Linked DNA regions of Macaca mulatta. The protein of the gene in region 3 interacts with the protein of the main gene of each other region in a biochemical or structural test. Links are inferred from orthologs where the notes say so. Each region holds a gene or a part of one and is shown on either strand. Other genes may lie near its edges. The genes, in order: NCOA6, TBL1X and THRB.

Region 1 (3,651 bases), on a different chromosome or scaffold from region 3:
ATCTTCACCAGCCCTTAGGGAAATTGCTTACTTAGGTCTGCAAATTGTGAAAGCGACCTTATACAGCATCAGGACTCCTAGGAAAGGGAGACAGTGGGTTTACAGGAAAAGTACCTGCTTCCAGCTCTACCACTAGTTCACTGTGAAATCTTGGGCCTGTTTCACACACCTTTTTGGGCCTTTGTTTTCTCATTCATAACATGAGGGGGCAGGCGGGGCATGGTGGCTCACGCCTGTAATCCCTTCACTTTGGGAGGCCGAGACGGGCAGATCACGAGGTCAGGAGATCGAGACCATCCTGGCTAACCCAGTGAAACCCCGTCTCTACTAAAAAACACAAAAAAACTAGCCGGGCGAGGTGGCAGGCGCCTGTAGTCCCAGCTACTTGGGAGGCTGAGGCAGGAGAATGGCGTGAAGCCAGGAGGCAGAGCTTGCAGTAAGCTGAGATCGCACCACTGCACTCCAGCCTAGGCGACAGAGCGAGACTCCGTCTCAAAAAAAAAAAAACATGAGGGGGCTGGACCAGATATTTGAGATTTCTTAGCTCTACAATTTTCTGAAAGTAAGGGTTACCACTGAATCTTTGCCTGTAATTTAAAGTGAGAGAAGTTTTACAAGGAGCAAATTGTTACGGGGGTCTGGATGTGCTAAAGATCTGCTTCAGGTTCTAAATTTCCATGTGCTAGGGGGCTTTTAAAATGGATTTTGGTGGCTTATGAAACTGTACACAGTAGAGTGAGACAAAACACTACCTAAAAGTGGGTGAACAAAATCAGGGCAAAGGGAAACTAAAGATAGAAAAGAAAAGTACAATTAGTACTGAGATTACAAACAAAATGAGGCCCATGATCTGTCTTGTTCTTTGAGAATGTGGATGTTAGTAGCTACATTTTCTTCATTTTTTTCTTCCCCACTGAAAATTTTAAGCTACACCCAGGTAAAAGTGAAGGCATCTCAAAGCCAATAGAGATGTCTGCACATTCTGCAGCAAAATTTTTGTTATGGTGGTCTCAATCTTTATTTGTTCTCTGAACACCATTTCCATCAGCCAACCTATACACCCTTTTGCAAGGTGTTATGAATTGAGCCCCCACTGTTATATCCACAAAAAAGAAACAATCAGACCCTGTAGTTGAATTTGATCGCTACATTGGAGATAGTGTGGTTTCACAGGAATAATATCTTATAACATTGATAGCCCTATGATCAAGTCTTAAAAACATCTAAGGAATGGGTGGTTACATGAAAATTATTGCATCAGGAATTTGTGGAAAGCATTTTGAGTAAATACAGTGCTGTTAAATTAAGTGGATTTTAACATTTAATGAAATTGCCAGATTATTTTTATGCCAATATTTAATGTTTTATCCACACTAGAGAGAGATGAATAATGGTAATACAAACATTTTAGTTCTTCAGAAATAGAGGAAGGGTTAAGCTAGTTTTGTGTATTTTCTATGCAACTTATTCTAAAATATGTTACTTTTTTTTTTTTTTTTTTTTTTTTTTTTTTAGCACCCCAGATACTCGCCCAGCTGGTCTGGAAGAGGCTGATCAGCCACCATTGCCTGGAGAACAAGGAATTAACTTGGATAACTCAGGCCCTAAACTGCCAGAATTTTCAAACCGGCCACCAGGTGATAAAATGTTAGCTAGATTATACACTTATCACATGTGCATGTGGCATTACAAGGCTTCATTGTCTTCGAGGAAACAATAGTATTTTATCTGCTAACTAGTCTACTTCAGTGATTTAATGTGTCTCGCCTTGGTATTGAGTAAAAATTTCAGATATAACTTTTGAAGGCACATACACACATTCTATTCAAATTTGTCTTTGTTATTTTAAGTCCTCATAAAATCGGACTGAAATGGGGTTGGGCACGATGGCTCATCCACCTGTAATCCCAGCACGTTGGGAGGCCAAGGTGAGCAGATTGCTTGAGCCCAAGTGTTCAAGACCAGCCTGGGCAACATGGTGAAACTTTGTCTCTACAAAAATTTTTTTTAAATTAGCCGGGTATGGTGACACACACCTACAGTCCCAACTACTCAGGAGGCTGAGGTGGGAGTATCACCTGAGCCCAGGAAATTGAAGTTGCAGTGAGCCATGATCATGCCACTGCACTCCAGCCTGGGCTACAGGGGTGAGACCCTGTCTCAAAAAAAAAAAAAAAACCCTGAAATGTGAAGTGCCTCTTTATTCTTGTCAATGTCAAGGTTCTAGTTGGCATCAGAACAGGATAAGATTAAATGGAGAGATGATTTCACTCTAATCCTGCTTACCTGCCTTTCCTGCAGCGTTTCTTCCTGGGGCTTTTTCAAAGCAGGGAACTACCAGGGTTTAAAACAAGGTGATCTTTTTTATAGAAGTTTCATTATTGAGTCTTTAAAATATAAAAAAGATATAAAGAAAAGAGACACCCATTTTTCTGCCACGTAGGTTAATAATTTATAATAAATAGGACCAATATTGGAAGTCCCCTTTGTTGTACCCTCTCTGATTATAAAATAATACTATCCTTTAAATGTTGAAAAATTATGTCAACAATGGAAAAGCTCCTAAAACTAATTCATTCAAACATGGATATTATAGAACCAAAGCCAGCTGCCACAATATCTCTAAACCTAGTTATCTTGGCCTGAGCAATGACTTGTAACTTTATTCCCCTATGACACGGTTGAGAATGCACAACCCTTCACACTTAGGCTACTCTCTCCTGTATGTACAGAGGGTATGTTTTGTTTCTTCCTCACTAGTTATTTCAGCTCCTTTTTGGCATGAAAATGAGAGTGACATTATTTTAGGAATAAACTTTAATCTACCCCTGATTTATGTATTTTAAAAGTGAATCCAAACAAAAAGCTAAATCCATCATTATATCAATATTTTGTGTTATTTATTACAAATTGTTTGGGCATATCACACTTCCCATCAGTGAGATGCAGCGGCATAGCTGAGACTGGGTGGTCATCAGTCTTTGGGGAATATGTCCAGAAGGCATTGAGAACAGGAACATGCCTTCTTGCCTCAGACACATCTGAGGCAACTCTTCTATATTATATGAATCCCAGGGTGTCTTTGTATACATTTATTGCCTTCTTTCTGCAAACTGGGGACCTGCAGGCTGAATTTGGCCTATAATGGGTTTGAGTTGCTATGCAGTGTCTTAAACAAAAGTCTGAATTTAAATGCCTTTAAAGAGGGCATCTGCTCTGCAGTTTGGCATTGTTGACAGGACTCTTGCTATCTTATACCAGTCCACTTCTATTCTCTACTACCTGCCTGACCCCTAAAGGCATAGGAGTTTGCATTCCCTGAGTAATAAATTTGGTTTGTGATTGTGTTATGGGCACTGTGTGTGTCCTGGCTTTCCCTCTTCACCATTCTGTCACATCAACCCCAATCTGTCTTATCATTAGTGCCTTTTGGACTGCTGCCTCCAGCTTCTAGACTCTGTAGCAGCCATGCCCTTAACTGTTACCTTTGAGAGGCTGCTGTATTGTCTATGCTGTCCTCTTTGGTATTTACTGTCTGGTGGGCTGATTTTAAAGATAAAAGGCATCCATGTCATAGCCCTGACATCAACAGGCTTTTGCAGAAATTATGATTTTCTTAATGTGGGAACCCCAGACTGAATGTGAAAAATA
Region 2 (3,651 bases), on a different chromosome or scaffold from region 3:
GGGCTCGTCAGCCGCAGCATGGGTGACAATTGTGGCCACCCTATGCACGGTAGGAGGTTTAGCAGCATTGCTAAGCTCCACCCACGAGATGCCAGTGGCATCCCCATCTAAGCACAGTCATGTGCCACATAATGACGTTTCCAGCAACAATGCACCGCACAGAAAGCAGTGGTCCTGTAAGACTGTAACTCTTATTCCTGCTGAACCTTTTCTATGTTTAGATAGATCTAGACGCACAAATGCTTACCATTGTGTTCTAGTTGCCTACGGTATTCAGTATGGCCACCTGCCGTCCAGGTTTGTAGCCTGGGAGCAATAGGCTCTACCATACAGCCTAGGTGTGTGACAGGTATTGTCATCTAGGTTTGTGTCAGTCACTCTGTGATGTTCAGACCAAGATAAAAGTGCCTAATGACACATTTCCCAAAATGTTCCCATCATTAAGCGACACATGACTGTAGTGACAACCTCAAATGGCTCCAGATATTGTCTAATGTCCTCAGAGGTGCAGAATCACCCTGGTTGAGAACCAACAATTTGACTGAGAAAATGTTGACTAGAAGGACATTCTGGAAGGGACAAGGAGAAGGCCATTCCCAGATGTGGTACCAACTCAGATGGGATCCAGCCCAGAAGCTTCCTCTGGCACTGGGCTAGGCCCTTCAGGACACGAACGCTGCATATGCCCTCGAAGCTCACTTCGGCATCAGCCGCCCCCAACACCCCACTCTCCAGCAAACCAGAGGTGTTGCTTACAGAGCCGTCGGACGCGCTGGCGCCCACTTTGTCTCCTCGGGCGTTCCAGCACACTTCGAAGATGCCGCCAGTGCCTCGGTAGCTGTGGACGAGATTTCCACTCTGCAAAGCAAAGCAGCTGTCACTTACAATGATGCAAGGGGCGCCTGCGACAGATGCAGTTGTACAATGTGTGCTCCTCCTGCCCTGGTGTTTGGTCATGAACATTTTCAAGCACGGTAAAATTTAAGGGTTTTCAGTAAGGACTCTGGGGGCTGTGGAGATGTTATCTCTAGGACTTCCCACCACAGGGAGTAAACCTGATTACTTATGCCTGTGGAATCTGCCACCACATGTGCGTGGATTCTGAGGTTGCGCCCAGCTGAGGACTGACGGAGGCAGGAGACCATGGCAGTCATCTGCTGAGACTCAGACTCATCTGGTGGATAAGTGGCTCATGGACTCTCCATCAGCATGGCCAAAACTTTCTACTGACCTGTAGGGCCATCCCTGACTCTTCCTACCCTTCCCGTCTCCTTCCCAGGGTCAGACTGGCCTTATGGTCTGAATTCTTCCTTCCCCCTACCTCCCTCCCTGTTTCCATCACAGCTCCTCAATAAATCTCTTGCCCATCTCATCCTGTTTTGGTGTCTGTTCCTTGGAGGACCTCAATGAATACAACGTAGTGAATACCCCCACCCCAGTAGCAATGAAATTGACTATAATTCACGATTACATGTATTAATACGCCAAGATGTTAAAATGTACCTATTTTGGGACATTTGAAAGAACAAATGCATAATATACATGTAATGGAAAACACCACAGACCATTGGTTTCTGGTTTAAAACAGCATTAACGTGACAAATCTAAGAGGTAGGGGAAGTAGAGGCCTTTGAAAGAGTTGAATAAGGCCAGGCGAGGTAGCTGACCCTGTAATCCCAGCACTTTGGGAGGCCGAGGCAGGAGGACTGATTCAGCCCAAGAGTTCAAGACCAGCCTGGGCAACACAGAGAGACTTCGTCTCTACAAAAATTAATTTTAAAAAATAAAAAAGAGAGAAAGAGTCGAATAAGCCTTCACTCATGATTCACTAATGGTGACAGGCAGGAGAAATCTGAGGACTGAGACCAGGAGGGCTGTTGCAAATCCTCTGCTCAACTGGGCTCCTTAAAGCGTGGTGTTCCATGAACTGAGAAAGGTGTATGTCAGCAGTATTATAGATAAGTATTTTTATATTTGGAGAAAGATTAAAGTGGGCTTTAAGATTTCTCTTAAGAAAAATCCTAAGGATTTCTTGGCTGGGCACGGTGGCTCATGCCTGTAATCCCAGCACTTTAGGAGGCCGAGGTGGGTGGATCACCTGGGGTCAGGAGTTCAACACCAACATGGTGAGACCCCGTTTGTACTAAAAATACAAAAGTTAGCCGGGTGTGCTAGTGTGCGCCTGTAATCCCAGCTACTTGGGAGGCTGAGGCAGGAGAATTGCTCAAACCTGGGAGGCGGAGGTTGCAGTGAGCCAAGATGGCGCCACTGTACTAAAGCCTGGGTGACAAGAGTGAAACTCCGATCCAAAAAAAAAGAAAAATCCTAAGGATTTCTTTGATTTATAAAAAAGGGTTGAAACAATTCAGTGAGTTCTTGGTAACAGGCTGTACCTAACTGATCATGTCATTTTTTTTTGGATAATTGATGTGTTGTTTTTACAAATCCATCCATTACTATTTCTAGCAAGGATTTCATGACAAGAGACTCTTGCACACTAGTCCTGAGATGTGCGCTTCCCGGAGGGCTATCTAGGGCTGTGGGGCTGGGCTTGGCATCGGGTTGGCTCTACGCAGGGTCCACCATTTCCTTTCCTTCTCTGAGAGGATGTGGTTCACATGAGGTCCCTGGGAAGCCTGTGATCTCAGTGGACCACTTGCCAGTGAACAGGGCTCATCACCCATGAGTCCACAGGGGGAATGAACTTGAGGATGTAAATCCAGCTGAATGTCAACCAAGCCAAAAGGAACCAAGAAGGCAGTGCAGATGAAAGGGGACGGGGGCAGGCTGTGTGATTCCTCCCTCCTGAGGCAAAAGGGACCCCTTCATTGTTTTCAACAGCTCCTAGCGTATCATCACCTGTCTGTCTTCCCTTAGAATAGAATCAAGTGCTGATGGCCCTCTATAATCTTTTACGCTATGCAGTGCTACTTCCCATCCATTTCTACACTTTACAGCTTGAATTCTTCTATCCTCAGGTGTGACCCAAGATACCCACAGCAGCCACCTTTATTTAAATCCTATGTCCTTTCAATCTCTGCTAAAAGGACAACCCAATATTGACATACCTTATGTCCTTAAACAGAACCTACTTTGATTTGAAAAATCGAGGTTGAGCGCAGTGGCTCACACCTGTAATCCCAGCGCTTTGGGAGGCCAAGGTGGGCGGATCACCTGAGGCCAGGAGTTCAAGACCATCCTGGCCAACATGTGAAACCCTGTCTCTACTAAAAATACAAAATTTAGCCAGATATGATGGCGGGTGCCTGTAATTCCAGCTACTCGGGAGGCTGAGGCAGAAGAATCGCTTGAATCTGGGAGGCAGAGGTTGCAGTGAGCCAAGATCGCGCTACTGCACTCCAGCCTGGTTAACAGAGTGAGACTCCGTTTCAAAACAAAACAAAACAAACAACAACAACAACAACAAGAAAACAAAACAGAAAAGAAAAATAGAAATGCCATGACAACAGCAAGCGCACATTGCTTCCCACTCCCTGGTCTGCTCCGTGGGGGAGCTGCAGGAGCTGGTGCGGGCAGAGGAGGTGGAGCTGGCCTCGACCCCATTAGCTGGTCCCCCACTCCCACCCTCCAGCCTCAGTATCTAGAGAGCAGCGTTTCAGTGATAACTGCTAAGAAGAGGAAGAGGCAGGT
Region 3 (4,147 bases):
TATATTTTTAAACATACTGGCATATTCTTTTTTGTTCTCTTTCCATCCTTTCCTTCCTTTTTTCTCCCTCTTTTCCCTTCTCCCTTGGTTCCTTCCTTCCTTTTTCCTTTCAGAAGACATTGTGCTCACACTCCCCCCCTTTCTTCTTCCTTCTCTCTCTCTTGCTCAGCATTATTCTCCTCCCCCACCACATGCTACAGTTCAGACTCTACATTTAATTGTCAACTCACCTGATGCTCCTAGATTCTAAATAACCTACACTGCAAATTAACATCCTCTCTTGAATTATGGCAATGTTATCCAAACCGGATCTCCCCAGAAGGTGGTTTATCAACTCTCTCTTCTACTTAATAACCCTCAATGACTTCCCACCAGGTACAAGCTAAAGTCCTACTCTTCAGCCGCACATACAAGACCCCCACACCCAGCCCCAAGTACCACCTTCCACCAGTCCTATTCCTAACTTCAGTCTCCACAGCACACCTTAAAGCACCTCCCACCCCTCGGCACACTTGACACCTCCCACACAAGCTCTGCCTTATCACGACTCAGAACTGCCCTGTCTGTTCACTCCTTTTCATGAAGGCTGAGCCTGTATTTCAGGCAGAAGCCCTTCCCTAACGTCCTCAGTCAAAGTTAGTGAATTTCCTCCTCAGGTTAACATTGCATTACAAACATTTATTACTATCTGTCTCCCCAAATAGGTTAAGAGTTTCTGGGGCAAAGGTGTCACTGACTCACCCACCAGGCAGTTGCTCAACAAAGGTTCGCTGAATGAACTTTGTTCCTTTGAGTTTATCCTGTATATTTTATTTTTATTTTTTATTTTATTTTTTTTTTTTTTTGAGACGGAGTCTTGCTCTGTCGCCCAGGCTGGAGTGCAGTGGCCGGATCTCAGCTCACTGCAAGCTCCGCCTCCCGGGTTTACGCCATTCTCCTGCCTCAGCCTCCCGAGTAGCTGGGACTACAGGCGCCCGCCACCTCGCCCGGCTAGTTTTTTGTATTTTTTAGTAGAGACGGGGTTTCACCCTGTTAGCCAGGATGGTCTCGATCTCCCGACCTCGTGATCCGCCCGTCTCGGCCTCCCAAAGTGCTGGGATTACAGGCTTGAGCCACCGCGCCCGGCCGATCCTGTATATTTTATAAGTAAAAGGAAGCAACATAGTATGGTGTCTACAAATATGAGCGTGTGAGTTCAAATTCCACCTGTGGCTTGAGCAGGTTATTTAATATCTTGGTGCCTCAGTTTCCCCATATGTGGAAACTTTCCAACTCTAGGGTGCTTGTGAGAAGTAAACAAGTTGCTACGTAGCTGGAATACTGCAAGGAAAATCAAAAGAGGTGCATGCTACCTGAGTGTTTGTTAAATATAATGGAGGTAATTATGATACCCCATGGCTGCCTCTGTTGTGCTCAGGGCAGAAGGTTCCCGACACCATCAGGACTGGTTTAATTTCAACAAGCTGATCTTTTATTAGAAATGTAAGTGTCTGCCTTACTCCTCCAATCAAAAGAGAGATGCTAACACCAAGAACATTACTCAATTCCATAAGAAGACTAAAAGTGGGCTTATGCCACACTCAGAGCCATTGCACTGGCTAGGGTGTTGGGTCTGGAAGGCATATAAAACACAACACAACACAACAAAACAAAAACCTAGTTAAGAAACTATAATTCAATTCTTAGACTATCATATATGGGAAAATTCACATTGGTTCTAAACTGCTAAATAGAAAATATGTCTGTATTCACAAAAAGAGATAGAAGTCTAACTTCAGCCAGGTACAGTGGCTCATGCCTGTAATCCTAGCATTTTGAGACGCCAAGGTGGGCAGACTGCTTAAACCCAGTAGTTCAAGAACAGCCTGGGAAACATGGCAAAATCTCCTCTCTACTAAAAATGCAAAAAGTTAGCCAGGTATGGTGGTGTGCGCCTGGAGTCCCAGCTACCTGGGAGACCGAGGGGGGAGGATCACCTGACCCTCAGGAAGTCAGGGATGCAGTGAGCTATGATGGTACTCTACCTTGTCTCAAAAAAGAATGAACGAATGAATGAACGAGAAGGAAGGAAGGAAGGAAGGAAGGAAGGGGCCTAACTTCAAACAATTTAGCTTCAAAAAGTGAGTAGAAGCCAAAATTCAGTGTTCAGAGATAGTCAAAAGGAAGTATTGATTCTTTTTGTTTGCAGGTAAACCAAAAGGGAGATTCTCTGGGTTGAAATTCTGCAAAATATATTTTCACTTAAGTACACCCTTCATAATGAGCCCTGTACGCATCCTGGTTATATCTTTTGCAAGTGCCTCCTGCGTGTGCCTTATGCTCCAGCTGTACCAACAACCTTCGAGAAACCTGTGCAGAAGCTCACCTTCACACCTTTGCTTGGTAGCTGCCTTGCCTGGGATGCCCCCCTTCTCGCTGTAACACTCACTCAGGTGACCACTTTTCCTGGGAAGACTTTTTCTTGCTCTCTTCAAGGACCTTTGCTCCAAGCCCCCTGAAAATACATGCACATTTTGCAAAGCATTTATCACACTGCATGACAACTGTATGTTCACTTTCCCACCCCCTCATTAGACAGTGAGTCTTTCAAAAGAGAGATGGACTGTGTCTATCTCCCTGTTGCTTTCTCAATGCCCAGCACAGTGCCTGGAACAAAGTATGTGCTCAATAAATGCTCACTGGATATTATTGGACAGGATTCCCTGTGTATGTAGAAGCAAATTCATTGCCAAATACCTATGGTAGCAATGTTGGGTCCTCCTCTGTGCATTGTTTACCAAGGCCATGCCATGGGGATACCACACTAGGGATGTGGCTGAGGAATTTTCACATCTGACTAAGCTGAGATGATTGTACAATTATACATCACTTCTCTCTGGAAAGAGAAATAGTTAGGATTCCTTAAAAGGGTTAGTAATCCCTTAAAAACCATTGCACGTACAGTAGCCTGAACCAATAATTTAAAAGCTTCTACATGACATTCAATGTTTATGACTCACTTATATTAGGTGAAAATGCAAAGGAGTATGCATCTTAAAGCTACAATGAGAGACTATTACATATCCACTATAATGACTAAAATTTAAAAAGACCAGCATTATCAAGTATTGTAGAAGATATGGAGCAACTGAACTCTCTTACACTGTTGGGGGCACTGTAAATTTCTATAACCACTTCGGAAAGCTGATTGAAAGTTTTTAATAAAATTAAACATATATCTACCCTATAGCCTAGCAAATCCTTCCCGAGATTTATATCCAAGAGAAATGCATATGTCCACCAAAAGACAGTCCCAAACTGGAAACAACCCAGTTTTCTGTAACACAAGAAAATGAATAAACATACTATGGTATATCCATGTACTCAATACTACTCTGCAATAAAAAAAAATACTGACATATGTAACAACAGGTATGAATCTTACAAATGTTATATTGAGCAAAAAAATGTCAAATACAAAGAATGTGTATTATGTAATATGTAAAAGAAGCTCAATAACAGATAAAAACATTTATCAATGGTGATGAAATTCAGAAAAGTGGTAACCCTGGTATGGGGCAGGCAGTGACAGAGAGGGGCACGGGCAACCTTCAGGGTTGCTGGAAATGTTTTGTATGTTCTTCTAAGTGGTAGTTACTTGGGTATACAACTACATAAAAAAGTGGAGCCTTATATGCTTTAGCACATGCATGTTATAGCATACTAAACAGTTTTCATAAACTCGATGGACAGATCCCCTAGACGAGCAGAAGGGACAAAACACCCCATCACTCATATAAAATTCAGAGAATGGGTCATATACCCCCTTGTTTGTTCAGGGAAAAAGATCATCACTGAGAAAAAGCTGACACGTGTTCCAATGGAGCTGGCATGGTTGTGGAGCACAGCATTATGGCAAACTCAGTGTATTCAAACAACTGAGGGCAAGGACATCCACTGCTCTGGATGTCACACCTGTAGCATAACTCCCTTTTGGGGATGAGTGGACATCTCAGCTGTACTCTCTATTATGGGAGTCTAGCAACAGAGGCCCTTCTCAGTCATATACTTTCAGTCAAGTCATTGCTTTGGGTGCCACTTTTTTGAAAGTCATTTTGTAAAAGAATAATGCTAAAACCCTCCGAAGAGTGTAAGTATACTAAAACCA

What was found.
Region 1: the proteins of THRB (region 3) and NCOA6 form a complex in vitro, tested with the Homo sapiens proteins (2 studies listed by BioGRID). The link is inferred for Macaca mulatta from reciprocal best matches to the Homo sapiens genes THRB and NCOA6.
Region 2: the proteins of THRB (region 3) and TBL1X form a complex in vitro, tested with the Homo sapiens proteins (2 studies listed by BioGRID). The link is inferred for Macaca mulatta from reciprocal best matches to the Homo sapiens genes THRB and TBL1X.

The regions. Positions count from the first base shown.
Region 1 is NC_133415.1:87,532,338-87,535,988, reverse strand, and holds part of NCOA6 (nuclear receptor coactivator 6), read left to right. Parts: intron 1-1,515; coding exon 1,516-1,637; intron 1,638-3,651. UniProt on the Homo sapiens protein: Nuclear receptor coactivator that directly binds nuclear receptors and stimulates the transcriptional activities in a hormone-dependent fashion. Coactivates expression in an agonist- and AF2-dependent manner.
Region 2 is NC_133426.1:9,264,106-9,267,756, reverse strand, and holds part of TBL1X (F-box-like/WD repeat-containing protein TBL1X), read right to left. Parts: intron 859-3,651; coding exon 757-858; intron 1-756. UniProt on the Homo sapiens protein: F-box-like protein involved in the recruitment of the ubiquitin/19S proteasome complex to nuclear receptor-regulated transcription units. Plays an essential role in transcription activation mediated by nuclear receptors.
Region 3 is NC_133407.1:24,163,931-24,168,077, reverse strand, and holds the start of THRB (thyroid hormone receptor beta), read right to left. Parts: upstream 2,876-4,147; 5' UTR 2,771-2,875; coding exon 2,737-2,770; intron 2,495-2,736; coding exon 2,366-2,494; intron 1-2,365.